Linked DNA regions of Rhinolophus ferrumequinum. The protein of the gene in region 2 interacts with the protein of the main gene of each other region in a pairwise test. Links are inferred from orthologs where the notes say so. Each region holds a gene or a part of one and is shown on either strand. Other genes may lie near its edges. The genes, in order: MEOX2, CIB3, SERTAD1 and KLF17.

Region 1 (7,607 bases), on a different chromosome or scaffold from region 2:
TAAAGATCCAACAAATATTAATTAACTCAAATAATGAAATTGCAAATTAAATTTTATTTTCATTAACTAGACATATTTTTACATTATATAGATTTTTAACTAGACACTATTGTGATATTTCCTTTTAGTTAGTCAAAATTTCTTTCAAAATATCTCATCAAAGAAAACACTCATTCTTCCTCCCCAGTGATTCTATCCTTGGTGATAACTAACCGTGTTTCCCACTTAAGATGTAATCTTAATATTTTATGTAGTTGACGCAAACTTTTGTGTTTGTTTATTTTTCCAGTACTCTAATTATTCATTGTTATATTAATTTGGTTATTTCCCACCAACGGAGAGCAAAACTATTGATATAACCAATGTTCTTAAGAAAGTTGTTATTAAAATAATTTAAGGGAAACAGTTCTTAGATCCCACTTTTTCTGTTTCCTCCCAACCAAAATAACACGTGTCTATATGAAAATTCAGTTTGCCCTAAGAAAGTTAGGTACAGTGGTGCAGTTCAGGAAGCAGAAGGAACAATCCATCACACAGATTTCTCATTGCAGAAAGTAAAATGAACAGTAAGAGCTTCTTGATAATTGCAAAAGTGCACTGACCAATCCGAACTCGGCTCTGTTTCCAAAAGCAGTTTTATTGCTATCAAATTTTGAGTCTATGAAAGGATCACTACATTCTAAAATTGACTTATTTTCTAATGAAGAAGGAAAATTGCTTGCTATGATTAACCTTTCAACTTTGTCTTAAGAGTTTTACTTATGGTTAGTAAAAACCATTAAATATGAGTGATACCGCTGGTAACTTTCTCAGATATAAGCTAATTTGCGAGTCAAGCATTAAAAGTTCACCTTTGACCTTGGCAAGTAAAAGTTAGATTTCCCATAACTAACGGTGAAGAACAATTGATAGCATTGCTGCAAAGGAACCTGAAATGTGCGGCTGAATCATTGTCATTTAACGAGGAATCGTACCTAAAGAATTATAAAGCATAAACATGTCGTCAATCCTTCAAACCAATATTTGGAATTACCTTCTAGGACTGTTAAACCAATTCCGCAAAGGTAGAAAAATATGTAAATACTATATTAAACAAATGACACCTTCCAAAAAGACGGAACTCAGGTTGCGCTATAGCTGCAGAAGAAAACTCGGAACCCCCTTAATTGTGAAGCATCTTTTAACAATTTCATAATGAGACACCTAGGTAAGGGCTTTTCGGAAGTAACCTGGAAAACTTTAGTTTCTCTGGATTGCTACAGTTTCCTTGGCGACTGTGCCTTCAAGCATCCGCGTTCAGCAAGGTTCCCCTTTTGCGTGGCTATTCAATTGATCCCCACGTAGATGAGCGCCTCCTGCGCGCACCCGTGAATACCAGCCTCAGAGATGCAGCGAACTTGCACTACTGGGGTTGCTGTTTGTTTCCCAGTACTTGTCTCCGATAATTCTCAATTGGAAGAGAATATCACTTTCCACCTTTGAAATTCAGATTCTCTCTTAAGACTAGTACCACACCAATGCAATTACTATTAAGACTCGTCTTTCTTCAAGAGTCTGAGCATGTATTTATTTACAATTCTCTGATACGTTCTTTAAAATCCTTTGAATTCCTACATTAGGTCTTCTTCCCCAAGAAAGGGAAATTTTTACCATTTGGAATAGGTACTATTTAAAGTACTCTGAAATCAGAAATAAAAAATAAATAAATAAATAAACTTTTTTTTTCTCATACTCTCTGCCAAGTTCCATTGCAAGTTCCAAATATTGTGCAATAATTTGGAAATCCGGTTAACGATGGGAAAAATCGAGCCACTCAGAGTCGGGAATTTGCAAGGGAAAAAGTCAAGGAGCGACACCCGCACGCACGCTCAGCGAACGCTGCATCCCAGGGTGCACTCCTCTCCCTATCGCTCAGAGGGAAAGTCACGCTTCTCAATCGATTTCACATACTGTCACTTGTCCTTTTTTTTTCTTTTCTCAATACTCTGGTAAACCACTTTGAACCTTGGAGAGGTTTCTGCTGTTGGCTACAGTGTTGCGCTCGGAGAAACACGTGTCCCCCAATAACAGGACCAAAGCAGCCTCACGGAATTTAGCGGCGGGAAGCCAGAAAGGGCAAGACCTGCGCCGTCTTTCCTGCTGCCTCACTATTGAGAGAGAATCTTCCTGGACATCTCTCCGCCCCTTTCGCCCAAGGTGCCCGTCGCGCCCTTACCTGAGCTATCGCTTTTCCTCTTGCCGCCACTTCTCTTCTCCGCCTCCGCGGGTGACAGCGCCTGGCGGCCGTAGTCCCCCGGCGCGCACGCGGCCCCGGTCGGGGTGCTGGAACCCAAGCTGGAAGAGTTGGAACACAGGACTGGCGGGCTGCTCCCCATCTCCGGGGGCCCTCCCGAGTCCGGCTGGAGGCAGAGACTGTGCCGAGCCGCGCTCGGGGGGGAGGACATCTGCGGGAGGTGCCAGTTGGTTTGCAGAGCTTGGTGCTGCTGCTGCTGGTGGTGGTGGTGATGGTGATGATGGTGGTGGTGGTGGCCCCTGTGATGTTGGCTGGCGAACATGCCCTCCTCGTTGGGGTATCCCGCGATTATGCAAGACGAGGAAGAAGTGGAGAGCTCGGGATAGGACATATGGTCAGATCTTCCATGGAGGGCGAGAGAGGACTGGGAGAACGGGTGCAAGCCTTGCGCGGTGGCGTGAGGGCTGCGCAGGCAGCCAAAGAGCGGGTGTTCCATAGCATGCAAGTCTCGGGTTCCAGGCAGAAGACTTCACGACGGTTCCAAACGCCACCACCTTCTGTCACTTTTCACTGGACACCGTGTGACTTTTCCCCCTCCCAGAGCAATAGCCGCCCGCGTTTCTGCAGAGCTCTGATAATCCCGGTCCTGAGCCCTAGTGGCCAGTCTCCTTTACATATAAACACTCTGACCTGAAGGAGCTTCCCTCTGAGCTACTCAGATGTCAAGAGTAGGAGAGGTTGAAGCCAAAAGAAGGTGGTCCCAGAGAACTGCTTTCAGGGGGAAACGGCTCTGAGAGGTTATAAATAGAGTGTAATGTGAGCTGGGGGCTGGCTTAGGAGCCCAGCGCTGACCACATGCAAACTCCCTCCAAAACTCCGGCTCAGTCTGAGAGCCACGCGCTCCCAGTTCCACTTCCTAACCCGCTGGACTCACTCAGCGAGTCCACGCCCGCCCGCCCCTGTCGGCCGCCAGGCGTGCAAGCGGCGCGCCGGGCGCCTGAACCCGAGCCGCGGGGCAGCGGCTCGCCTCCCCCGGCGCGGGCGGCAAAGGCGCGCGGCGGTGCACGCCAGCCACAGCCCCTCACCCGGTGCCCAGCGCGCTCGCTTCTCTCAGTAAAGGTGTCTTGTCAGTGCCACTTGGACACTGTCACCTGCGGGAAAGATAGGGTTACGCCTAGCTCTTGAGGAGCACGAAAGGGAGCTAGTTTGGCTTCGCGTTTCCTCATGTCCTGGGCGCAGTGGCGCGCCTAACTTTTTGCAGGTGGTGTTTGTGGGTGCGTTGATAATGGGTTCGGACACCAGATCCGAAGTTGCAGGGATGTGCCCGGCGGGCGGGAAATAGCCATTCTGAATGCGGAAAGGAGAGATCTATTGGCGGCGGGGATTGGGGGGTAGGTAGCACCGGGCAGGACAGCTGCAGATGTCCAGGCTCTGGCAGTGTCACCTGCGGTGCCAGGTGGGGTCTCTTCTCCCCTGCTTACCTCAAATGCCTTGTCCCCTGCTTTCCTGGTCCCGGTGAATTTCCTAGTCACGTGTCCACTAAGAACTGTCCCTGGGTCAGGAATATTCCAAAGCGACTTCGTCCCGGTCACATGAGATGTGTATATTGCACGCACATTTCCAATCTTTCCCCTTAGGAGCCAGCCCATGTCCCATCATATACCTCCAGAAATCCACCCTCTCCGGTCAAAAATAAATCAGCTGATAGCACCCCTTGCCCCTCTCCGGCTCTGGTCGTGGTTCCATTTACTGAGAAATATTACATTTTGATAGCCCCCGCCTCCCTTAAGTTCAGTAAATTGGGAATTTTATATCTACCTGGTTAATCTTGCATCATAGAAAATGAGTTAGAAAACTTGCCACCAATGAATTAGCGCGAGCGACAGCTGGACTTTGATTCTGCCACTTGAGAGGCGACATTGTCTGCTGGGGGCAGAGTCCTTTACACGAGGCAAGCAAGCCCCGGTAACGAGCTGCAGGAACAGTCGAGTCCTGCCTGGGACAGGTCGCATCAGGAGAATATCCGTGCTCACCTATCCCGCCCAAGACCCGGAATGTGAATGTGCCACCAGCAGCGTCGCCTCCTTATTTTCATTGTCTCTGGTGTCCCGAGGATGGGGAACAGGTCTTTGAAGTTGTTAATGGGGTTAATGGGGACAGCAAACTAGGCCGGCCATCTGTTTTGAATTAGGGCAAAAGTATTGATTAATCTTTGAGAAGTGTTCCCAAGGCAGGACCTTTTCCCTCGCCCAGTCCCTCAGGCTTTCAGTCTATCTCCCTTTTCTTTTAAGTCGTACAGCAGAATAGTGGCTTCGCAATAAACCTTTACATTCGTGTGAAAGTTCGAATTGTTTTCCATGGCTTAGAGGTGGGACAGGGAGGGGGTGATCAGGAATTCTGAGATTTGTAAGTGCTGCTTTCTTTAACGGAAATTGAGCCCTATTTTGAGGGAAATTAGTTTTGCAGACTTCGTTAAAAAAAAAAAAAAAAAAAAAGCTAAAACTTTTGTTCACCAGCTGCTCAGCTTTTCAGTCTGGGTCTGAGCTGGAACCTGCTGCAAGCATTTGACGGTAAGACTTTCTTTGCCGATATTTTGGGAATCTAATATTGTTTTAGACTTCGAAAGGGGGTGTTCTTCAGGTTGCACGTTTCTAAGGGTTTTAAGCACTCACAGGATGGCGTCCAGAGCTTAGATCTTAAGAATGTTTCTTCCTGCCACTCCCCATGCCCTTGGCTCTTTAAGGATAAAAAAGGAGGGGGTATATTCTTCTAATATTGTCGGAATATTTTTTGAATTTTCATTGTGTTTATGGTTTCAATATGTGCCCTGATATTAAAAGTTGAAGTACAAAGGGCAACACTAAACTTCCCAAACTCGGATGGCTCCTCCATGGATTCTGGGTGAAAGCATTAAAGGCTTTATCCAGAGAGAAATTTAGGCAACCACCTCCATAAACAGTAACCAGAAATATTTACATAATACAGTGCTGTCTACTAAAAGCATTGTGGAAAATGTCAGGCAAGACTAAAGATACACTTGATCTGCAGACATCAATAAAAAACACCCATAAAGGTCCTTTTGGTTTGCATTATAGTGGTTTAGAGAAAGCAAGCAATTGAGAAGTGAATGGATTTGAATTTACCCAGTGTGTTGCAGGTAACTAGCAACTAGCAAAAACACACAAACTTTTCATCTCCAGAAGCTGCCTCTTTTTCTTGAACCTGCCTGGTGACTTTGCTGGCTTTTTTCTCACTCACTGTGTCAGATGTTAACAACATGTCCAGAAATTTCTGTACAGCATGCCTTAGTCAGTCAGCCTCTGGAACTGTGGGGCTAGAAGTATGGGAGAGGAAAAAAAAAAGTAGAAAAGATTAGAAAGGGAAGAGTCTCTGTAAAAGGCACACATTAAAATAAAGCTAACAGGAATAGTCTTTCTAATTGAAGACCCAAAATATATAATATCAGTGAAATTATGGAGTCCATATTTCTAATAAAAAGCATAATATAAGGAAAATGTTATTTGGAAGAGAAAAAAATGTGATTCAAAGGAGAAAGGACTAAAAAAGAGTTCTTGATACACTCCAAAATTAATATGACTTTTTTTCCTCTGAATTTCCAAGTATATATTAATCACCTCATAAGTTTTTTTTCCCCCCAAATTTTCATTGCTTAGGATTATTGGAATACAATAAAACACTGATTTTATTTTCTATACCATAATTTTTTGAAAAATACAATAACAGGAAAAATCCCTAGCATTTCCTATAAAGCTACTTTAGGGTCCACATCAACAAAATCTGATGTTGAAAGTTGCTTTTTCACCTATATCATGAACAATGGTAAAAATCACAAAATTTATTATAGAATTTACATAGCATTAATTTTAAACTATATATAATATAGTATTGATCATATATGTAAAATATACTTGAATTTTCCTGAAAAATATTCTATTAATAACAGTATTTTATGCAAGGTTTGATATCAAGCAGCACATTATAACAAGAGGGTGAATATATGAAAAATGTAAGTTGCTCATCTTTTGTAAGAAACATAATCAAAATTACTTTAAACACATGCTCTTTAAATTTGATAAACACACATACCTATTATTTCTTCTGTTTGAATGAAGTGATATTCAATAATAATGCAAAGATATTTTTAATTAAAATTACTTGAAGTGTAATAGAGCTTAAGCAATGTGAAAACTTTGTTTAAATTTTATTTTCAGAATCATGATTCTTTTGAGTTGCCATTCTTCTGTTCATTTGACATGAGGTATGATGGTAATAAAATATTTAAAATTAAATATGATCATTAGCTACAGATATTATAAACTTTACTTTGCATTTTACCTGCTAAATTTGCCTAGGTAAAATACAGTCATAATATATAAATTTAAGTATGGAAAATTAAATTGAAGCTGGAATTTGTCTCTGAAGGTTTTGCTGAGGATAAAAATATTATTTCTGCTATATTTCTCGAAGAAATAACATGCCCTTGAACTGGTTTTTATGAAATAAAGAATTTTGAAAATATTAATAGATGCTAAATACCCAATAATTTATATGATTTATGATACACTCCTCTTTTTAAAACTAGGAAATTGCCTTTCTCCGTGAATTATGCATTATAAAATTTGAAGAACAATTTTGCTATGGCTAATGCAGGTTATTTAGTGATTCTATATACTGTTCTGATTTTTAAATAACACTTTTTACATAACACTAATTGTTTTCACAAAAAAATTGTTGTGTTTCTATATATACTACAAGAAATGAATACTTAAACATGACTTCTGAAAGTGTAAAATAATATCTAACATATTTTATTTTTATAATTCTATCTCTTCCTACTTTTAGATATATGATTTCTTTCAGAAGTTGGTGATTTTCTTCAATTCAGTTCAAGTGCCATGTAGGAAATAATTTTCAGAAAACTGGAATGAAATACAGATTATGACTGATTTAATTAAAAATTCAAAATACATGCATTTTTCCATAATTCCACTTGCTTTTCACATACATTTTATGAAATTCTAATTATGTGTGTGTAGGGGGAGTGTTAAAATTAGGAAGATGTTGACTACGTTTCAAATTTAAAAACTTCTGATTGAACTTCCTTTTGTTCACCTGTTTTGCCTCCAATTATTGAAGAAAATTTTCTTATATTGATGTACATGGGGAGTAATTACCTCCAATTCCTACATTTTCATTTGCACTCACTTTGTATGTTATTTTCATTAATAAATGTATGCATTGAAATTTTTTACAGTTGAAAATTGACTCCTTTGCATGCCTAACTATAAGATATACAGGTACACTAATGCAAGACAGTTCTATAATGAAATACTATGTTATGTTATATATTCTA
Region 2 (7,025 bases):
CACTCTCTGTCCCTGTGGTCTGGGTGGTGTTGACCCCACTTCCATCTGCAGCGGCAGCCACAAGACCTGGGTGAGGCCAATCAGAGACTTCCATTTACCTGGCAACCGTGATTGGCTCTAGGATAGGCACATGACTCAAACTAGCCAATTGGAGGCTGCCCTGGGAGGTTTTCTGAAGAAATTGGGATGGAGGGACCTGCTTTCTGATGGTTGTAGAGCTGACAGGAGGAAACCTGGGGCCTCTGAGGGCTCCATCCACTACCTCAAATGCCATACACACTGCCTGAAAATGAGGCCTCTTCCTAGGAGCTGAGAGATGGAAAGAGATTCTCAGAGACCCTGGTTTCAGCCATACCTGATGCTAGCCCTGCCTCTGGATTTTTTGCTCATGCGATCTAATCCATTGCGTCCCTTTTGAGTAAGCTTTTTGTCCCTTGTGATACAATAATCTCTAGGCACAGTCACTCACTCCACAAGTCCCCTTCAAACCATGTGTTGAACATTAGCAGCTCGTACGATGAAAAGAACTAACGTTCCCTGAGTACTTGCCATACAACAAACCCTGTGCTAAGCATGATCTCATCTCATCTTCCCAACAACCCAGGGTTTGAATCCTGTCTCTGTCATGTTCTGGCTTCATGGCCATGAACAAGTGTCTTGACCTCTCTGTACTTCAGTTTTCTCGTCTGCAAAATGGGAATCATTGCACCTCATTGGCATGCAGCAAAGGAATTCTAGTGTTTTCCCCCTGCCTGCCCCATGACCCGGCCATACCTTCAGCTCAGGCATGCTGCCGATGAGCTCGTAGGGCACCTTCACATCAGGGCAGTTGGTATAGTCGAGGGGGACAAGCTGGGGGGCCAGGTCCTGGTAGCGATAGAAGAGCCTAGTGTAGGGAGGGAAATACCAGGAAGTGCTGGGAGGTGGGAGGGAGGGGACTTGTCCCTCTTCTCTCACTCTTGCAGCTACTCACTCCACACTGAAGGATATTGGGTCCCTAAGAGCCATCAGTCCTGGGCCCAGCCTTCAGGCACACAGAGCAACACACAGGCACCTCTATCTCCCTGGGGACAAAGCCAAGGTAGACAGACAGTCCCAGAGCTTGGGGACACCAGACTCGGAGAAGCAAGCCAGACAGGATGAAGGACTTCCTGGAAGAGGGGTCATTGGAGCTGGGTTTGGAAGCATGACTAGGAGCTCACCAGGCAAATGGGCTTGACAGAAGGGAGAGTGCGTAGGGCGAGATCATTTCACAATAAGCATTGAGAGAATCTGAACCGACCTATGAATCTCTGGACGTCATCACTTTGTCAGCAAGACCATGTTTTTAAAGACCCTCCTCCTCATTTTCCCTCTCCCCCTCCATAATGGGAGGCAGGATTCCCTCAATGAGGCAGAGCAGAGACAAAGGCTAATATTCAGGCTTTTCAAAAGGGTAACTGAAAGGCATTTTGGAAAACACCAAATGCCATACCCACTACCTCGACTGGGAGGCCAGCTCTGAACTATGATGCACTCACCTGGTGACACCATTCCTTCATTGGGCCCCTGAGCAACACCCTAATAGAGATTTTCCTTGATGACCTAATAGAGAAGTCCCCACGCTGCTAGAGACTGTCTCAGAAGGGGACAGGAGCCTTTGGGTCATACGGTGACTAGGTACTCAAGGAAGGGAGTATCTGGAATCCGGTCTTGACCACCGGATGGGTCCCCTCCAGGGACAGCCCGAGTTTGAGGTGCTGTACGGCCTTGAGCAAGTCCCTCTTCTCCTTTGAGCCTCAGTTAGTCTGTCTGACAAGCGAGAAGCTTGGGATAGACGAAATATCCGCCCTCAAACTCGTTGGGACTCATCCCATCTGCAGAGTTGGGGTCAGCCTCCCCTGTCTGAGCCTCAGTTTCCCCATCAGTAATTCGATCATCATAGCCGGGGTGACCCTGCGAGCTGTCTTCGCCCAGACAATGGGGCTCACTGGTGAAAGGTGTGCCCATCAATAATGGATGTCCGTTGCCCACACAATTGGGCCCTTGGCCCCGATCACTCTGCAGCCGAACCCTGGCCAGCTTGGGTTTCACAGCTCCAAGTTCCTGGGTCAGGGCCTCTGGACAATGGCTCCCTGGGCCAAGTGATGATGTGGGATACCCATTTATGTCTGTCTCGCTCACACCAGGGACCTGAAACAGCCTCAGGGCGCCTCCCTGTACCCTCCCCTTGACGTCAACCCCATAGCCCAGAGCTGCCTCTTGACTCTGCAGCTGTGCCCCCAGCCTCTAGTCTCAGCCTCTTCACACAGGCCTGGGGGGTGGGATCCTTCTAACATGCTGACCTGTCTCTCCCCTGCTCACACACTCTCCATGACTCCCTGCCACCCTTGGGAGAAAATCCAAGCTCGTCAGCCTACAGGCGAGACAATAAGATCAGATGTGGCTTCTCAGCCGCCCCATCTCTGCCTCTGTCCACTGACCATTAGCTCTCTAACTGCCACGAAGCATTGGCCCTTGTCAAATTCCAAACATCCTCCAATACCGTATAGAAAGCTGTTTCCGGGTCTTCCTCCCTTCCTCCCCAGACTGACCTCATGATTTCCTTCCTCGTGAAGAAGGTACAGTCCTGGGGAGAGAGACATTGGCTTGGCCCAGCCCCTACCCGGGCTTCCTCTCCCCACCTCCCCCTGCTCATCTCTGCCGATGCCACACACAGAGCTGCACCAGGAACCCTTGCTGACTGCCCACCCAGGACCAAGGGATGCTGCCCCCATTCCTCAGGCCAGGAAACCAAAGCTGCCCCACACATTACTCCCACCTGATACGCTTCCAGCTGCTCATGAGTAAAGACTGTCTGCTTGTTGCCCATGATGAAGGCCACCGCCAGGAACAGGCTCCTGAAGCCCCCAGGCTCCTCAGGGCCACACGGTTGCCAGGCTGCCACGCACCAGTGTCTAGGCAAATCTCCCTGCCCTGGCTGTCACCCGCCCACCCGCCCCATCACCCCAAGCCTGGGTGAGACTCAAGTTACAGCCAAGCTCTCTGGCCAACAGTCTGAGTATGTCCACGGCCACCAGGGCAAGAAGAAAGTCTGTGGGAGGTCACAGAGCCTCAGACCACATCTGCCATCACCAGGTGGGCTTGGGGGGAGGGGGCACCTTCCAGAGACAGGCATTATGGTGGAGAGGCTTCAAGCATATTCCAGCTCAAATACTAGTTCTCTACCCACTAGCTGTGTGGCCCCAGGCAAGTCACCTGACCTCTCTGAGCCTCATTTTGTAAGATGGAAATTATTTTTGTACCTACTTCATAGAGTTGTTCTGAGATCTAATGAGGGCATTAATGCAACCAAAAAATTGGACTTATTAATCACTGGGCATAAAGTTTCAGTTAAACAAGATGAAAAACTTGTACAACATTGTACCTGTCATCAACATTAATGTAGTGTACACTTAACAATTTCTGAAGACAATAGATCTCATGTTAAGTGTTCTTGCCACAATCAAATAAAATTACAAAACATGCAACTATCATATGACCCGGCACTTGCACTCTTGCGCAGTCCCAGAGAAATGAAAATTTATGTTCATACAAAAACCTGTAATGAATGTCTTATTCATAATAGCCTCAAATGGGAAACACCTCATATGACATTTCCCCTTAGAACATTAATTATCAGTGGAAGTAATATTACCCCAAAGGAGACAAAAAATTGGTTCAGGGTGGGGACAAGAAAACCTTAGATATTTCAATGGTTTCTGGCCCTTCAAAGCTCTACCCTCCCTGATAAAATCTTATTCATCAGTATTTAACTTTTCTTATTAAGTGAATTTAAGTTAAAGTGTTCTCTTTAGGTGTTGATAATGAAAAAAAGGTTGAGAAATACTGTCTTAAATGTTTGTAAAATATTGATGCATCTACGATGGATGGCTTCATAGTGTCGTGACAAAAGCAGGGATGGAACACTCAGCATAGGTTGGATTCCAGTTTGTGCCTCAGTTCCTCTAATAAAATCAGGATGGTTTATGTAACAAGGTGGCTGTGAGAGTAAATGAGATGATCCATGTAAATCCATATAAAGTATTAGCTGTTGTTTTCATCACCCCCATTTTATGAGGAAAGGGAAGCTCAAAGACTTCAAGCCACTTGCTCCAGGGCACACAGTCTTGGAAGCGCTGTAGACGAGCTCCAAAATTGCTGGGTTGGCTGGGGAGAAGAGATTTCTCCACTTGAGTTTCTCCTGTGTCCCTCTCTGAGGAGTTGATTCTACCATGGATGGACCCATGAGGAAGCTGGCACAGGCTGGCAGTCCCCCATGGTTCTCTGTTGGCATTCTCATCCAATTCTGAAATGCTAAAAGGTGAGACTTTGGCTGGAGAATTGGGCAGCCGCTTGCTGCCCCCTGCAGGTAGAACTGGGAAATGCAGGCACCGAGCCCTCCTTGGTCCAGTGTCGTCTAGATTTGGGGATGCTTGCTTTTTCTACCTCCTTCATCCCCTACCTTTCCCACCACCACCCTGCCCAAGTCCCTGGTACAATTTGGGCAACAGTACAAATTAAAATGCGTATTAACCATTGAACCGTCAAAATATGGCAATAAAAAAGAACAGGCTATCCAAATACATGCAAAACACTCAAAAAAGCGTTGGGTGTTAAGAATTGGAGTTTGTCAAATTGGTTTCAATTGTCTAGAGGAACCCAAAAGCGGAGAAACCATAAGTGGGGCCCAAAGCCGGAAGTGTGGCACAGGGTGCAGAGTGGCCCATAGCGCCTGACTCTGCAGGCTCAGCCCTCAACCCGGAAGTGTGGCCAAGGACGCATGCGCAACGCCTAGCTGGGCCACTCAAGACCAAGGGAGGCAGGCGTTCTTCCGGAAACAGTGAACAGGAAGTGTGGCAGTTTACCTGGCGAACTGCAGACAGGCGTCATGGCGTCCTACGAGCAGGTCCAAAAGGGGCCCTTGAAGCTGAAAGGCGTTGCAGAGGTCGGCGTGACCAAGCGGTGAGTCCCGAAAGCCCATCGTCTGCCCCGTAAGCCTTTTTCCGACACCCCGGGCTCTTGCTCTCTGGCCGCCCTCACTCCATCTTCTGTTTTCCCTCCCAGGAAGAAGAAAAAGAAGGACAAAGACCAGGCGAAACTCCTGGAAGCGATGGGAACGAGCAAAAAGAACGAGGAGGAGAAGCGGCGCGGTCTGGACAAGCGGACCCCGGCCCAGGCGGCCTTCGAGAAGATGCAGGAGAAGCGGGTGAGGCGGGTGGAAAGGCTGGGGATGCCCCGCGCCGCGGGCCTGGGTCTCCGGGGTGGGTGCTTAGGAAAAGCCCGGAGACTCGGAACCGGGACAGTCCCGGGATGCTTGGAGGAGGGCGAGCGGTCAGAAATGATCTTAATTCCGGGGGAAAGATGCTGAGCAAGAGGAAGAGTCCGCGTCTGAGGGAGCTCGGACAACGGGAAGGACCTTCAGCCCGAGGGGACAGCAGAGGGGAGAGCTAGAGATGGCGTTGAAAGGAGCCAGAGCTGGAGACCGGGTTTGTCGCTCCTTTGCCCTGTGACACTGGGCCAGTGACTCATCTTCTTTCCGTGCCCCAGTTTCCTCATCTGTAGGGGTCAAGATACGTACTTTTTCCTAAAAGGAATGGGAGCTTTGTGATGGCATGTAAAGCATTTGTCACTAGGTCTGGTATAAAGTCATTGCTCAGTTGATGTTAGCTGTTGATGTTAAATGGTCGTGCTCCCTGCTGTAAGTGTCCACAAACTCTGTTCCCGTGACGACTTCGTTGGCAGATTCAAATATGTTGTTTTTAAGTGTCTGTTATTTTTCTAAATATCGATAAATGTGGGTGGTGGGGCATAGGAGGGGGCAACGTTAGATAAGCTTGGCCCGTTACGCTGGGGGGAGGGACTAATAGGTCTCAACTGAGGGCCATTTTGTCCCCCTACTTCCCTTCCCAAGAAGACATTTGGCAATGTTTGGAGACATTTTTCTTTGTCATAACTCAGGAGGGGAGCTGCTAGCATCTAGTGGGTGGAGGTCAGAATGCTACTCAACATTCTGCAGTGCTCAAGATAGTGCCCCTACAGGGAAGAACGCAGTACCCAAAATGTCAAAGCACCAGGCTGAAAAACTCTAATCTTGGTCTGGGTGATGCCGTCAAGTGACATGGGGAAAATTGTACTTATTGCTCTCAGGCTTAATTCAGTAGTACAGAGAGAGAGAGAGAGAGAGAGAGAGAGAGATGAGAAGCACTGTCTTTTGGGTTCCAGTCTTGGTGGTGTAACTCTGGGCAAGTTGGCTAAGCTCCCACACCTCAGTTTCTTCATCAGGAAAGTGGGGCTTAAGTCCCTACCTCGTAAGTTTTTGGTGAGGATTTAACAAGTGAATGTACTTAAGTCCCTTCCCACAGTTATAATCAGAGGCAGGCTTGGGCTATAACTCCTGGAGCAGGAATGGAGTGGGGAAGAGGCTAATGCAACCTACAGTGCGATTAATAGTGGCTTCTTAGAGGTGGGCAGTAATAGTGGAAGCTATGGAAGGTATCGAATTTGGGATAGATTTGGAAGGAAGGACAGCAGGATCAGCTGATGGATTGCGTGTTGCGTGTGGGCTGGGAAAGAAGAATCAAGGATGACCAAGATTTTGGGCAGGAGAAGCTGGGTGAAGGAAGGTGCCATTTACTGAGATAGGAAGGACTGTGGGTGAAGCAGGTTTCTAAAGGGAGGGATCAAGACCTTGGTTTTAGAGAAGTCAACTTTGAGGTCCCTTTTAGTAATCCAAGTGGAGAATTCTCGTGGAGCGTTTGATTTCTGAATCTGCAGTTTAGTGGAGAGATCTGAGCCCCAGATAAACATCGGGGAGTTGCTGTAGAACTGGATGACCTCCTCTGAGGAGCAACAGTGACAGAGAAAAGGTATAAGGTCTGACCTCTGGTGATTAGAAGGTGGCAGAGAAGAAATTGCAAAGGATCATGGGAAGGAGGAAAATCAGGAGAGTGTGTATCCTTAGGAGCCGAGTGGAGAAAGTTTTGGGGAGAAGGAATTGATCAGCC
Region 3 (7,770 bases), on a different chromosome or scaffold from region 2:
TTGGTAGATTTAGACTCCCCAGCCACCTGGAGAAACTGAGTCAGGTCAATTACCTGTCAAAGGATGGGACTTTTTTTCCCCCCTTCTTCCACCTCCCCTATCCCCCCCACTACGGTTCAATCTGTTTCTCAGTCTAGTTGTGTAGGACACAGCTCCCTGGCCCATGCTGGTATTGTGAGCCTTGTGCTCCCTGACCCCCCCCCCCGCCCCCACTGAAGCAGTTGGTCGCCAGTCGTCTGGCCACTCACAGCAGCTCCTGGCAGCTCTGGCTGGCTGCTGCGGCCGCCTCACCGTGGCACACAGTAGCCCGAGGCAGCCCACCGCAGCTTAGGCCAACCTCCCGGTGCTCACGGCTGCCCAACAGCTCCAGGGAGAGCTGTTGTTCACAATCTTAGCTGTAGAGGGCGCAGCTCACTGGCCCACGTGGGAATCGAACCCACGACATTCTGCATTAGGAGCGCAGAGCTCCAACCACCTGAGCCACCAGGTTGGCCCAGGATAGGACTTTCTGACAGTTAAAATTTTGTCAACCCTTTCATTTGTATAAAATGTGCTGCTGAACCCCAGAGGAGAAAAATGCCCAAAGATTCCCAGTGCTGAATGGTTTTTCAGAAAACCAGGTTAGGAAGTAGAGCCAGGCTAAAGTTATGGTTTTTAACTATTTGGTAGGTACAAACCCAGGCTGGTGAGAGTGAGGGGAAAAGAGAAGAGAGGCTAGGGAAGATACAATGTGATAACATTGCTGCTGAACTGGCTATGTTTCCACAAACACTTGAGGACATGGCAGCAGGTGACTACGCATTAGGGACTTTTCTGGAAGCGTTGCAAGGAGGAACCACACCTTGGCATAGTCCACAGGCAGGGAAAGGAGGGGGATTTTGCCTGTGCTTTCTGGCTCAAAGCCAGATTCTCACCCTTAGAGGGGCATTGCATTGAAGTCTGAAAGCAGTGGGGTAACTTAACAGGTAGGTGCCAATCAAGAAAGAGGAGGTGGTACAGAGGATCTCAAGAAGGCACAGAAGTTCCGCATCTCAATATGGATGCCCACTGGATCGTGTCTTTTTCCTACTTAAAACTTACAGTGACTTCTCCTACTCAATAAAATCCCAACTTCACCAAGGCCTTTGAGACCTGATAGTCTTGTTCCTCAGTTTAGTCTCCCACTGTCCCTTACTCGCCTCCAGCCACATTGGTCTCCTTTGACCCCAACCTAATTTTGTCCCTGGGGCCTTTCCACTTGCTGTTAACTCCCCAGAAGACATTTCCCCCACAGCTTCACCAATCCAACTCTCCCCTTCTCAGTGGCCTTCCCTGCCTTTCCGAGCTCAACATGTCCAGATGCACTACCACCCCTGTTTGATTAATCACATTCTGTTTGATTTTCATAGTAGCACCTATTCAAGCTCAAATTATTACCTTTTTATGGTTGCCTCTTGGTTTATTGGAAACTGAGAGGAAGGGGTTTCGTCGGTCTTAGCCCAGCTGTATCCCCCAGTGAGTAGAACTATGCATGGCACAGGTGGGCACTCAAAAAAAAGTCCATTTTTGCTATTGTTGAAAAAATGAACTCCTGATCTCACCATGGCCAACCCTCCCTGCCACCTCTCTGTACTCATCTCCCCCATACTCCTTCGCTCCCATGCTCCAGCCACACTATTCTCTGCCATCCTTCAAATACACCAGCATGTCCCAACATCAAGACGTGGAGTATTACCTGCCTCATTAAGCGACTGTGCAAAGTGTGTAAAAGGGGGCCTAATGCACACTGAGGATTCCAATAATTGCTCGAATTTACTGAGTGCTTACTGTGGGCCTGGCACTCTTCCATGCATGTGAGTAAAACAGTTCCTGCTCTCATATAGCATCATAGTGGGGGGAGGCTGAAATAAACACAAAAGGTAAGTAACAAATGCTGTAGAGAAAAAGAAAGCAGGAATGTGATGAGGGGGTGTCGCTATGTAGATGGAATGGCTAAAGAAGGCCTCAGTGACAAGGTGACATTGGAATAAAGACCTGAAGGAGGTGAGAAGTGAGCCAAATGAATCTGTGGGGGACATCCTGGCAGAGGGAACAGCCAGGGTGAAGGCTCCGACGTGTGGAGCATTTGAGAGAGGGTGTGGAGGTCAGTGTGGCTGGAGCAGAGTGAGCAAGAGGGAAGAGTACTAGGAGGAGGTGAAAGTGCTGAGGGGTCTAAATCATGTAAGGTCTAAGGGAGTCCCACAGGGAGGACCTGAACTCCACGCTGAGTGAAATGGTAGCCATAGGAGGGTGTTGAGCAGAGTGTGTGGGGGGGGCAAGACCTGACTCCCGTTTAAATAGGCTCTCCTTAACTGCTCTAAAGATAACCACAGTGAGGCCAGTATGAGGAGCACCCCCACTTTCCAGATGAAGAAACTGAGGCTCAGAGAGAGCGAGCTCCTGCCGTGTTCAAGAACTGGCGAGAGAAGTGGAAAGGCTGGCACGGCAGAGAGAACTGGGTCCCGAGGGCAGAGTCCACGTTCCCCAACCTGCCCTCCCGCGCTGTCCTTCGGTGGAGGATGGGCCGCGGCCACCTAAGGGCATAGGCAGGGAGGCCCCGTCTCTCCCCGCTGCCCACCCACCGCCCTGGGCTCGCTCTGGGCGGGATACCCGGAGGCGGCGGCAGTCGGGAGCCGGCCCGGCGCCTCCTCCCTCCCCAGAGGCCGGGTGGGGCAGCCGGCTAGGGCGGGGCGCTCCCCCATCCCCCTCCCTTCTCAGCTGGCTGAGGCTCCTCCCCAGGACTGCTGGGCCCGGTAGCTTCGCTACTAGTTTCACTTCCTAAAGCCCGGCCTCTTTCCTTCTCCCTTCCCCCAGCTCTTTGAATTTCAGGATCCTTCTCCACTTTCTGGTCTCAGCTTCAAAGTCACCTCCACGGGACCACCCTGGCTACAGATACTTCTCCCCAAGCCTCTCTATTAACCCCATCCTATTTTGTTTTCTTCAAGTCACTGAACGGAGGCAGAGATTATCTTCCTCATTTATTAATCTTCCAGGGTCTTCTCATCCCACTCAGAATGAAAAACAAAGGTCCGTAGAGTACTCAGAAGGGCCTAAAAACGTCTCTGACCTGCTCCCGACAGCATACAGACCAACTACACGGGCCTCCAGCACACGCCCACAACCCGGCCTTCACATTGGCCCTTCCTTCTGGCTGGACCCTTCCTCACTACCTCTCTCATTTCACCAAGTCTCTACTCCATGTCACCTCTTTTCATATTTCTTTTCTTTCCACCCCTCCCCTAATCCATAAGAAGTGAGACCCTGTGAGGTTTATCCAGTATACCCCATCATTTACAACAGTGTACACCACCTAGTAGGCGGTCAATAAATTCTTGTACATGTTAATCAAATGACTCTTGTGAGCTCTTCCATGTACGACGTGGAGCAAGCCTCTTGGAGACTGTGCTTCCTTTTCCTGGCCAACAAGATAGGCTGTGGGGGAAATAATTTGAATTTTCCTAGCATGGGCCTGGCTCTAATGATCATTTTACCCTCTTTTTATTATGAAAGATTTCTAGCACTTAGAAAAGATGAAGAAATATTCCATATTTAATTCCAAATGCATAATAGACGCTGCAAAACTGTCATTTGCTGGAGGGAGCATTTGAGATCTTGCTTCCCAGCATGTTGTCGGTTTGGCTCACATAAACTCATAAAAATTATCTACAGGTTTGAACATTCTTACATTGACAATATGTACCACATCCTCTTTATCCATTCGTCTATCGATGGAAACCTAGGTTGCTCCGATATTTTGGCAATTATAAATAATGCTGCATAGTATAGTTTGCACTTTTTGAGCACTTACTTTGGCCAGGAGTGTTATTCACAACTAACAGTTCTTCCCACAGCTCCAGCAGAGTTAGCAAATGATCTACTCTACTTGAAGAAGGTAAGTCCCATTTTCAGTCTATCAGACAAGTATTAAACTCCTGTCTACTTATACCCCATCCCACGTGCTCCCCCTTGAACTAAGTGCCTGTTCTATCACTACAACAGCTATTACTACTAACAAAAGGACACATTGTGCACCACTCTGAGCATTTTGCACAAATTATTCAATTTAATCCTTAAATCAATCTTCTGCACCAGATGCTATCTCCATTTTAATAAAGATGAGGAAACCGAGACTCTAAGGGACTAAAACCTTTGCTCAAGGTCACTCAGCTACTTAGGGAATGGCGCCCAATATACGACCCCAGTGGCATCCCCCCACTCTCATCTTTTGACTCCCACCTTTGAGTCCAACTGCCCAAAATTTGCCGAGTCTAGTATAGTGCTCTTACGGATGCGATCTTATTTTAATTTTCCTAACTCAAGAGGTAGGCAAGAAGATCCCCATTTAATAGACTTCGTGTGGTTAAGAGGTCAAGCGTTTTTCTAGGGTCACACATCAAGTGAGTGATGAGTCAGAATTTGAACCCAGGCCTATCTGGCCTAGAGTGTAGACCCCTGTTGGGGCTGGGTGTGTAAGAAGCTCAATTGCTAAGTTTGGCAAGCGCATGCGTTGGTGTGAGTGGCCTGCACCTTGATAAGCAAAAACCCCCTCCCTGCCACAACCTACCAGAGCAAAGAGCCACCCTACCTTCTACTCTACCCTTACGCAGGAGCCCGGGCATGCGCCCTGAATACAACCTTCCCTCCCTTCGAACCTGCCCCCTACAGGCTCCTCCCATAACCGTCCAGGGCCAATCCCTGGGTGTAGGGCGGGGCCGCTACGGTAGTGGGCGGTAGCTAAGAGGAGTCAGGAGCCTGGAGTCGTGCGCTGGAGTCAGAACTACGTCTCGCGACCCAGGCGCCGGTTGCCGAAGGAGAGCTAGCAAGTGATGCTGCCGCCGCCGCTTCCTGATTGGCTGCGGGTGGCTCCCTCTTCGTTCTGATTGGCAGCTGGTGAACTGGGTATGTAAATGAAGGAAAGGGGCCTAGGGAATGAAGGGGTACCGGCGGCTTAGTCTTTGGCAGGTTCGATCCCCGCGCCCGGCAGGTGCGTGCCGGGACGGACCGGGATCGAGAAGCGCGGGCCTCTAAATGCCGCCCGCCTTGGCCGGGCCGGGTGAATCACGCCGCAGCCCGGGAAGGGGGCGGAGGCGCCGGCTCTCTGGCTCCGGCTGCGTGACTCACCCGCCCCCGCCGCCGCTTCGGGAGGCGCCGCCTCCACTGCCTTCCGGTAGCGAGCGGAGGCCGAGAGGGCAAAGCAGCCCACGGGATCCTGGCCTGCACTGCCCTGGCAGGCAGGCAGGAACGACAGCCAGGACGGGGGGCGGTGTACAGGGTCCTGGGGTCTGAGGGGCTGGAATCCCCGGGGGAAGGCCCGCTTGGGGCCACTAGGGGGCGCGGGGACAGGGGGGCGGAGTTAGAGTGGGGGTGGGGGCTGAATTCCTGCGGTTCCGGACTCTCGGGTCTACGGGGAAGGAGACGAGGACCCAGTTCTGAGTAGTATGAGGGGTCACTGTTAAGGTCCTACTGGGTAAGGGTCCGGGGACTGGACCGTGCAGGCTGTCTTCCTCAAAAAAAAAGCTTGGGCCAGTGGTCTAGAACTCCAGGGACCCCCCCACATCCCGCCCGAAGGAAAGTGTGGGTCCTCAAAGTTTTCTCAGTGATTCCCGTGCCCATCAGGATTTCCCGGCAAGCTCTGTCTACTCTGCCTCCCAAATAAATCCTGAATCGACCAACTTCCTTCCATGTCCACTACCACCCTCTACTCCAAGCCACCGTCATTGCTCCAAAGAGTGCAGTAGTCTCTCCGAATAGATCTCCCCCTTCTCCCTACACCCCCGACCACCATCCTCGAAGTAGCCAAGGAGGAGCTTCTGGAAACCTAATCAGTTCACAGCACCACTCCCCTTCCTGCTGAAAACTCCTGAATGACTTCCCACCACACTCAATAAAATCCAAACTCCTTGCCTCTGCCTATTCTCCACCCTTCCCACCCCCCTGCCCCCACCTTGCCACTCTGTGCGCTGACCACACTGGTCTTTTTTTTTTTTTTTAAGGTATAATTGGCACACACTAGCCTTTTTTCAGTACAGGCTCATCCTGCCTCCAACTCTTGTTTTGCCTTTGCTGTGGTTCTCTCTTCTAGGATTGCTTTCCCCTCGTTCTTCTATGGCTGACTCCTTCTCATGCTTGAGAGCTTAACTCAAATGTTATCTCCTCTGAGGAGCCTTCCCTGACCACTCCCCAGAACCTTTTAGTATCTTCCTAACACCATCTGTACATTTCCTGTATTTGTTTATTGTCTGATGCATAGTACATACTCAATAAACTTAGATTAAACTATGTGAAACAGCTGCTTTTATAGGTTAAAAAAGTTGAATACTGGACAATTCACATGGTTCATTGAAGAAATATAATACTTAATAATAATAGTGCTTATGAATAAGAGTAATTGCTATGTACCAGGCACTGTTGTAGTGGTTTTTGGATATTATCTCATATATTCCTTAAAACAACTCTAGGAAGTAGACTATTATCATTCATATAGTAAAGGTTCTCTAAGAAAGCCTAGGTTCAGAGAGGATAAGTGACTTGCCCAAGATCATACAGGCAGCAGTAGTCAGACCAGGGTTTGAACTTGACATTGGCTTTCCGTAACTCAAGAACTTGTCTCCCCACAGATGATGCTGAGCAAGGGCCTGAAGCGCAAGAGGGAGGAGGAGGAGGAGGAGAAGGAAGCCCTGGCAGTGGACGCCTGGTGGCTGGATCCCAGCCACCCAGCAGTGGCACAGGCACCCCCGGCCGTGGCCTCCAGTTCCCTCTTTGACCTTTCAGTGCTCAAGCTTCATCACAGTCTGCGGCAGAGTGAGCCAGACTTGCGGCACCTGGTGCTGGTAGTGAACACGCTGCGGCGCATCCAGGCATCCATGGTGCCCACAGCCTCCCTGCCACCTGTGCCTAGTGTGCCTGCAGCCCCTGGCATGGCTGACAACTTGCTGGCTAGTTCAGACGCTGCCCTCTCAGCCTCCATGGCCAGCCTCCTGGAGGACCTCAGTCATATCGAGGGTTTAAGCCAGGCCCCCCAGCCCTTGGCAGACGAGGGGCCACCTGGCCGCCCCACGGGGGGAGCCCCCCCTGGCCTGGGTGCCTTGGACTTGTTGGGCCCAGCTACTGGCTGTCTTCTGGACGATGGGCTCGAGGGCCTGTTTGAGGACATTGACACTTCCATGTATGACAGTGAACTTTGGGCACCAGCCTCTGAGGGCCTCAAACCTGGGCCTGAGGATGGGCCGGTCAAGGAACAAGCCCCGGAGCTGGATGAGGCTGAGCTGGACTACCTCATGGATGTGCTGGTGGGCACACAGGCACTGGAGCGGCCACCAGGGCCGGGGCGCTGACCCCAGGGCTGGGATGTTTATCTGGTGACCAAACAGCCTGGTGGCTGAAACAACTGTCCTTGGAAAGACATGGCTGGCTCCTCTAGAACAGAAAGGGATGCTTCAGAGAGACAGTCAGTCCCTGGCAGCTTCACCTCCGTCCCCTTGTCTCAGGCTGATGGGAGGAGTCTGGGATCAGTCCTCCATGGACTATAGGGCCTGGTGGCTGGAATGTGATTGGACGAGGCCCAGTGCTGGACTGACTCCCCGGAGGTCTTAGCCTGGGATACTCTCTCCCAGATGTGGGAAGAGACCCCAACCAGTTTTATGAAATTAAAAACCAGGTCTGGTAAATATTAAGTCTGTGTGCTTCTTTGTCTCTGGGTTAAGGCGAGGGTGAGACAATAACCTCTAATATTGATTGACCGTGGACTGTGTA
Region 4 (7,379 bases), on a different chromosome or scaffold from region 2:
TGTTAGTGCGAATGTAAATTGGTACAGTCAGTATGGAAACAGTATGGAGATTCCTCAAAAAAATAAAAATAGAACTACCATATGATCCAGCAATTCTATTTCTGGGTATTTATCTGAAGGAAAAGCAAATACTAATTCTCGAAAAGCTATATGCACCCTCAGGTTCATTGCTGCATTATTTACGATACTGCAGCAATGAACATGAGGGTGTGCAACAGGGAAGCAACTTAAGTGTCCATCGATGGATGACTGGATAAAGAAAATGTTGGATACATATATACAATGGAATATTATTCGCCCATAAAAAAGAAGGAAATCTTGCCATTCACAACAACATGGATGGATCTTGAGGGCATTATGTTAAGTGAAACAAGTCAGACGGAGAAAGATAAATACTGTATGATCTCACTTATATGTGGAATCTAAAACAAAACACTGAACTCACACTGAGAACAAATTGGTTGTTGTCAGAGGTAGGTGGTGGGTATGGGTGAAATGAGTGAAGGTGGTCAAAAGGTGCAAACTTCTAGTTATAAGATAAATAGGGGGGTGGTAGATGACGGTAAAGGGGATCCAATATATGGTGATGGAAAGAGAACTGACTCTGGGCGGTGAACACACAATGTGACATATAGACGATGTAATACAGAATTGTACACCTGAAATCTATGTAACTTTACTAACAATTGTCACCCCAATAAACTTTAATTAAAAAAAAAAGATAAATAAGTTCCGGGGTTGTAATGTACAGCATGGTGACTATAGTTAATAATACTGTATTGTATATTTGAAAGTCACTGAGAAATCTTAAAGTTTTCATCACAACAACAGCAGAAAAATGTAACTGTGGTGTTGGATGTTAACTAGACTTATTGTGGTGATCATTTCACAAAATATACAAATATCAAATCCTTATGTATGTGTGCACCTGAAACGAATACAATGTTGTATGTCAATTATAGCTCAATAGAAAATAAAGAAAAAAATCCCACAAAAATTGGTACAAGTTTACATTAGCATACTTTTATTACGGACCATTTAATAAACATTGTATTTTGCATAGAAGTTAATTTGGAGAATGCCGTTTTTTGGTCGCCCGAACACACACAGACTCAGCCACATATGTTTGGAGCTGACTTTAGGCACAGGTCATACCGCCAACCCCGGTGTTATTAGTTCTCCCTGCATTTACACAGTAGCTTCAGAACAAACAATCATGATTTACAGTCAGTGATTATAAAGGCAAAGAGATAGAACTTGACTTATTTCAATTCTGTCATTCAATGTAACCATTTGGAGTTTTGGGTAAAAACAGTGAAACAGTGCAAAATGAGAGGCAAAATATTTTCGTTTGGTTAAGTGCCAATTTTAGTTCATAGATGAACTATTTTACTGGATTTAAATCATACTTTTAAAATGGAAATTATTCTTTAAATATTGTTAGTTGTTTTAAAATGAAAGATAAATCAGGAAAATAATAAATGTTATGTCAGTGGTACAGTTCAGCAGTTTTGTGAACTAAAATTCACTTTAGTTATTGGCGGATCATTTACATAGGATATTATATCAGTCTACAACTAAAGGATCAAAGTTCAAACAATTAGATAGATGTGGAAATAAATAGTTGTACTTTTTTCATTTTCTGAACCATAATACTAATTGTTTTATTTATTTTACTGGCATGAATATACATATAAAACTTTGTAAAAGAAAATTTTTCACTTCTACATTTCTTTTCTGGCCATTATTATTATTCATTTCATTTCCTAATCATTTGCAAATATTAAATTTGAATTATGAAAATAGTTTTATCCTATAGAAGAGTGGTGTGTTAAAAAATGATCTGCTCCATGTATCAAATATGATTCATTCCACAAATATTTTCTTAGTGCTGTGACGGGAGGAAACACTAGGTGCATGGTAACTGGAAGAGGCATCAAATGGAAATCAGACATGGTCCATAGAGGTGATACCTGAGCAGGTATTCTCCATAGAAGCAGAGCCACTATTTCTCAAGGACCTGCTCTCAGCCCCAACCCATGCTAGTAGCTAGAGACACTAAGGTACTTAAGACTCTTGTTACCCAACCTGTTACAATAGAGCAAATGTCCCTGCATTCACCAAAGGCCCACTTGTCTATTTGTACCCTGAGTCCTGTCCTTTTGTACCCTGAGTCCTGTCCTTTTTTGACTTATCAGTGTTGCTCCTATAATTTTTCTCTCTCTCTCTCTCTCTGCTTCGGTATTGGTTTCTTTTTATTGGTGGATCCCCGTCAGCCTCCCTTAATCCCCATTCCAACTACCACCTCATTTCTCTGGCCCCATTCATAGAAAAACATCTTTGAAAGAGTTGATTATAGTGTCTCAGTATCTCCATCTCAGCAGCACCTACCTGTTTTCTTTTCCCCACTCCAGTTAACTTCTATCTCCTCTGTAACTGTTTTTGTCAAAGTCGCCAAAGACCTCCATCTTGCCAAATCCAATAGGCACTCACCTGGTTCTTAGCAACATTTGATGCAGTCGAACAGTCCCTTTTTTTTTTTTTTTAAGATTTTATTGGAGAAGGGGAACAGGACTTTATTGGGGAACAGTGTGTACTTCCAGGATTTTTTCCAAGTCAGGTTGTTGTCCTTTCAGTCTTAGTTGTGGAGGGTGCAGTTCAGCTCCAGGTCCAGTTGCTGTTGTTAGTTGCAGGGGGTGCAGCCCACTGTCCCTTGTGGGAGTCGATCCCGCAACCTTGTGGTTGAGAGCCCACGGGCCCATGTGGGAATCGAACCGGCAGCCTTCGGAGTTAGGAGCACGGAGCTCCAACCGCCTGAGCCACCAGGCCCGCCCAACAAGTCCCTTTTTTTAAATACAGGCATGTTGAAATATGTATCCACTCTAATGGCCTTATAACCACCATGTCTAATGCTGTAAACACCTAAACTTACATTTACAGTTCTAGCCTCTCCCTGAGGATATTTAGTAGCCATCTCAAAACCAACGTATCTAAAATGGAATTCTTATTTCAGCTGCTTCCAAAGCTCTTCCCATATTTCCATATCCCCATTGGTGCAGTCATCACTCAGTTGCTCAAGCCAATAATCTAGGAATCATGTTTGATGCCTCTTTTCCTCCCAGCCCTTTCCCATTCCAACCCATTATTAAGTCCTATCTCATTTAATGTAAAAATATTCTCTAATCACCATCACCAACCTCCACCAAATACTGACATATTTTTTGGCGAGATTCTTTTGCTTTCTAATTCGTGTTCCTGCTTCCATCTTGTCCCCTATAATCCATAAACCTCAAAGTAACCCAATGACTATTTCAAAAACTTAGATCACATCAGTTTCCTGCTTAATATCCTTCAGTGGCTTCCTATCACTTAGAATAAAATCCGAACTACCAGCCAGGATCTTCAACACCCTGCCCGTCTCGATCCTCAGCTCATTCTTCTCTCCTGCCTGCACATATCACCGAGGTCGCCTGGGCGTCCTGATTTCCCTCTGGCACGGCAACCAAGTTCTTTCTTGCCCTAGATCCCTCCAATCTTCCTATGCATGACTCCTTTTAGGCCCTTAGTTCTCAGCTCACATTTCAATATTATGTTTTTTTCCATAGTACTGGCCACCATTTATAATTATTGACTTGATTAAATTCATTTGTCTGCTCATTTAGGATGAAAATTCCTGAGAGCAAGGACTTTATTCTGTCTTGTTTGCCATTGTATCCCTAGTTCCAAATCACAGAGCCCATCACGATAGGTACTGGATAAGTATGGTAGAATAAAGACATTGTACCACGGAGCTCCCAGTCTTGGGTTTGTACAAGGGACAGAGAGGTACCTGGCAAAGAAGATCCAGGCCTCTGGGAGCTTATGACAAGAGCCGTAATCTGGTGGGCTGGTAGTGGAGGCTCTCCTGTCTGCAGAGATCCTACACCCCATCTGCCATTCTCTCCAGCCTCCTTCCCCATTTCTCCACTCAAGAGATCAACAAAGCCTGGCTGGAACTCTGAAACCTCGGGTCCCCACCCCCATTTGGGCCAAGCAGAAATGCTTAGGCTTAAGGGTGGATGGGGAGGTAGGATGGGATAGACCTAACACTTATGGAGTGGTCAAGGTAAGCGGTCCTGTTAGTGGCCCTGCTGAGTCTGGACAGGCTGAACCCGGCAGGGTGGGGCAGCCTCCGCTGGGTGGGTCGAAGGGTGCGGCCTTTGGCTCCGCCCCCCCAGCGCGGCGGGAAGTAGAAGCCGAGCGCCGTGATTGTGGCGTGGAGGTGCAGCGACAACTGACCTGCGACGCCGTGGCGGCGGGGCTCAGCTCTCCTCGGATGTGGTTTGGACCCGCACACAGTCCCGAGGTGCTGTGGATCCCAGGCTGAGATGGAGCAGAAGGCCCAAGGGCTGAGCCACTGGCCGGCAGCTCAGCACCAGTTCTCAGAGGTGGGGCGGGCGTCAGCCCCAGGGCAGGGCGTGGGGGCTGGAGTAACGAGGCTGCGGGAGTGGAGGGAAGCAGACCCCTGGGCATTAGGAGTTGAAGGAAGAGGTTGGGAGGGATGGGAGATCGAGGACCGAAATCGTGTGTCGTTTATCGAATTAATACTCACCGAGCCTAAGTAAGAGCCTGTGTCGGGCGCTGGGCGTGAAAAGGTCCCAGGAGAGGGATCTGAGTACTGAGGAAAGGAGACAAAAGTTAGGAAGTTAGCGGGAAACGGGTAGGAGGAAAAAATTAAATATTTATTGGAGCCCTTCTAAGTGGTAGGCCTTTGCCAGACCCTGGGAATACAACGGTGAGTTTACCATAAGACACTATACCATTTTATTGATAAATAGCTTAATGATTAGCAGTACAAATTGTTGTGATGGAGAAGTACAGGGGCCACGGGAGCAAATAGAGATGTTTAATCTGATTTAGGAGGCCAAGAAGACAGCTACGGATTTGGTCTGGGACTGGAGAACTGGTTCGGTGAAGGGTTTGTGGGTCCTGAGACCAGAGACAGGATACCGCTACCTTGGAGAAAGTGAAAGATGGACTATGGGACTGAAGGCCAAGAGAGTGACGGGAGAGTGGCCCAAGGGGAGGGGAGGCAGGGACCCCCGCACCATCGCGGTCGTGCGGGGCTTGAGTTGGTCATTCCAAGAGCAGTAGGAAGCCATTGATGAGTTTAACCATGATCAGTCACAATTAGATTTGAATTTTTTTTAACCTAGATTTAAATGTTTTTAAAAGAGTCCCCTGGCGAATGTGGGCAGAATTACAGGCAATAGTTAGAACGCCGTGTGATAATCCGAGCAGGAATTAAGATGGCGGCCCCACAGAGAGGTGAGAGTGGAGATGGAAATCCTGGAGATGTTTTGGAGGTAGACTCTACAATGTGGTGATTACGTGGATCTAGGTGGTGAGGCACACCCAGGACAACAGATTTCTAGCCTGTACAATCAAGTGAGAATAGTGGTGACATCTGAGAGCGGAAAAAGATGAGAAGAAACAGGATTAATAGATTAACCCCCCCAACCCCCCACCCCGGGGGTGGGTTGGGAGGGGTGCAAGGACGCTCCTGTGTATTGGACAGTCCAAAGTGACTGTGGCTATTCAAACGGACTGAGCATTAAGTAACTGGAAGATTCAGGAGAGGTCTGCCCTGGAGCATCGATTTAAGAATAATTGGAATGTAAACAGAAATGGATCATTAGCATGAGAAAGATTGCCCGAGAGTAGCTTAAGGAAAACCTGCAAAGGAAAAGGAGGGCTGGAGAGAAGGGAAGGAGAAAAACTAGGCAAGAGCGTCATTGTGTTCCTGAGGCCAAGGGAAAGAACCATTTCAAGAAGAGTGACTTCCCAACCTCAGAAGCTCCTGAGAGGTCCAGCAAAGAGGAGTCTGGCAAGGTTTTGGACTTAGTGACAGGGAAGTCATCGGTGACCTATATTTGGGCTGGTTCTGTGGAGAGATGGGGCCCTGAGTGAATTTGGGGGAATAATAAGGCCAAGGTAGTGGTGAAGGTGTGTTTCGCCATCTCCAAAGATTTTTACCTATGAAGGATCAGGCAAATAAAAGAGGGCCATTACTGAGAGGGAGGGAAAAGGGGCTGAGCACCCCAGAAATACCCATCTAAAAGACATTTGAGGGCTATAGTGTGCCTACTTTACGCTAGATGCTGAGCATATAATGGTGAATAAAACAGGATTTCCCCAACCCTTCTAGGATTTAAAAAAAATTGTTTTCCCTCCATAGTCAAAACATTATCAAACCTATCAAAATTAGTGATAATCTCTTAATACATCTTAGATGCAATTATTATTCAAATTCCCCTAGTTGTTCCTAAAATGTCCTTTAGAGCTGATATGTTCAAACCAGGATCCAATTTAAGACCACACACTGCATCTGCTTATTACGTCCGTTGGGTCTCTTTGAAATTAGAATAGTTTTCTTTTTTCCTGACTGACTTTCTTTTTTCATGATCCTAATTTTTTTCTTATAGACTCCATTTTCTGGATTTACCAGATTGCTTTTTCATGATGTAATTTAGCTTGATCATCTATCTCTTGTATTATCTCTTAGAGTGAGATCTTAAAGCTTAATTGGGTTCCTGATTTTTGGTAAGACTGCCTCATAGGTACAGTAGGCTTCATCTTGCATTACATCAGAAGACTCATCTGGCTCCCCACAATTTGGTGACACTAGGCTTGGTCCTTAAATTAAGGTCGCAAAAACCCTGTTGGTCTCTATTCAAATTTATTTTTAGGCTTGCTGTCAGAAAGTAATCTGTGTAATGTTACCTTGGCTGCATCCAAATGATCAGTTCCCCAGCAATCATTCAGCTACTGGTTTCAACCAAATATTTTTTCCTTGATCAAAAGTTTTTTTAGGGGTTGTAAAATAATGATTTTCTAATTCTACCATTCCTTCTACATTTATTAGTTTGTATTCTTCTGTAAACTACTGGAATTAGTTGGTGATTTTGAAATAACAGTTTCCTACTGGAAAGACAGAATAAATACGAAATTCTTTCACTTCAGTTCACAATGGCTGACACTGGGATAATAGCTTACCCTTTGTCACTTTTGGATCGTGAGTTTTCAGATTCAATCTATTAAAATCAACAATCATTGTTCTTTTTGATTCTCAAATTTTCACAAATTTGGCCAGTGGGGACCCCTTCTGTGTCCTTTTAAAAAACATTTTTAAAAATTGTGGTAAGATCTACATAACATAAAAATATCATTATAACCATGTTTAAGTGTATGGTGGCATTAATCATATTCACATTATTGGGCAACTGTCACCACCATCCATCTCCAGAATTTTTTTCATCTTCCCAAACTGAAACTCCTTAACCATTAAACTGACTTCCGAATCTCCTCTCCATCCCCCAGTTGCTGGCAATCACCATTTT

The links.
Region 1: the proteins of CIB3 (region 2) and MEOX2 interact in binary tests that used the Homo sapiens proteins (3 or more experiments, as listed by UniProt). The two-hybrid records come from large-scale screens. The link is inferred for Rhinolophus ferrumequinum from reciprocal best matches to the Homo sapiens genes CIB3 and MEOX2.
Region 3: the proteins of CIB3 (region 2) and SERTAD1 interact in binary tests that used the Homo sapiens proteins (3 or more experiments, as listed by UniProt). The two-hybrid records come from large-scale screens. The link is inferred for Rhinolophus ferrumequinum from reciprocal best matches to the Homo sapiens genes CIB3 and SERTAD1.
Region 4: the proteins of CIB3 (region 2) and KLF17 interact in binary tests that used the Homo sapiens proteins (3 or more experiments, as listed by UniProt). The two-hybrid records come from large-scale screens. The link is inferred for Rhinolophus ferrumequinum from reciprocal best matches to the Homo sapiens genes CIB3 and KLF17.

The regions. Positions count from the first base shown.
Region 1 is NC_046303.1:23,143,564-23,151,170, reverse strand, and holds the start of MEOX2 (homeobox protein MOX-2), read right to left. Parts: upstream 3,010-7,607; 5' UTR 2,730-3,009; coding exon 2,216-2,729; intron 1-2,215. UniProt on the Homo sapiens protein: Mesodermal transcription factor that plays a key role in somitogenesis and somitogenesis and limb muscle differentiation. Required during limb development for normal appendicular muscle formation and for the normal regulation of myogenic genes.
Region 2 is NC_046301.1:49,780,225-49,787,249, forward strand, and holds the start of CIB3 (calcium and integrin-binding family member 3), read right to left. Parts: upstream 3,002-7,025; 5' UTR 2,852-3,001; coding exon 2,801-2,851; intron 2,609-2,800; coding exon 2,574-2,608; intron 887-2,573; coding exon 775-886; intron 1-774. Other genes in the region: protein FAM32A, read left to right, coding at 4,910-4,983, 5,086-5,227. UniProt on the Homo sapiens protein: Acts a an auxiliary subunit of the sensory mechanoelectrical transduction (MET) channel in hair cells. Plays a role in regulating hair cell MET channel localization and function.
Region 3 is NC_046298.1:39,110,024-39,117,793, reverse strand, and holds SERTAD1 (SERTA domain-containing protein 1), read left to right. Parts: upstream 1-4,761; 5' UTR 4,762-4,917; intron 4,918-6,635; coding exon 6,636-7,352; 3' UTR 7,353-7,691; downstream 7,692-7,770. UniProt on the Homo sapiens protein: Acts at E2F-responsive promoters as coregulator to integrate signals provided by PHD- and/or bromodomain-containing transcription factors. Stimulates E2F1/TFDP1 transcriptional activity.
Region 4 is NC_046292.1:31,183,699-31,191,077, forward strand, and holds the start of KLF17 (Krueppel-like factor 17), read left to right. Parts: upstream 1-4,367; coding exon 4,368-4,427; intron 4,428-7,379. UniProt on the Homo sapiens protein: Transcription repressor that binds to the promoter of target genes and prevents their expression. Acts as a negative regulator of epithelial-mesenchymal transition and metastasis in breast cancer.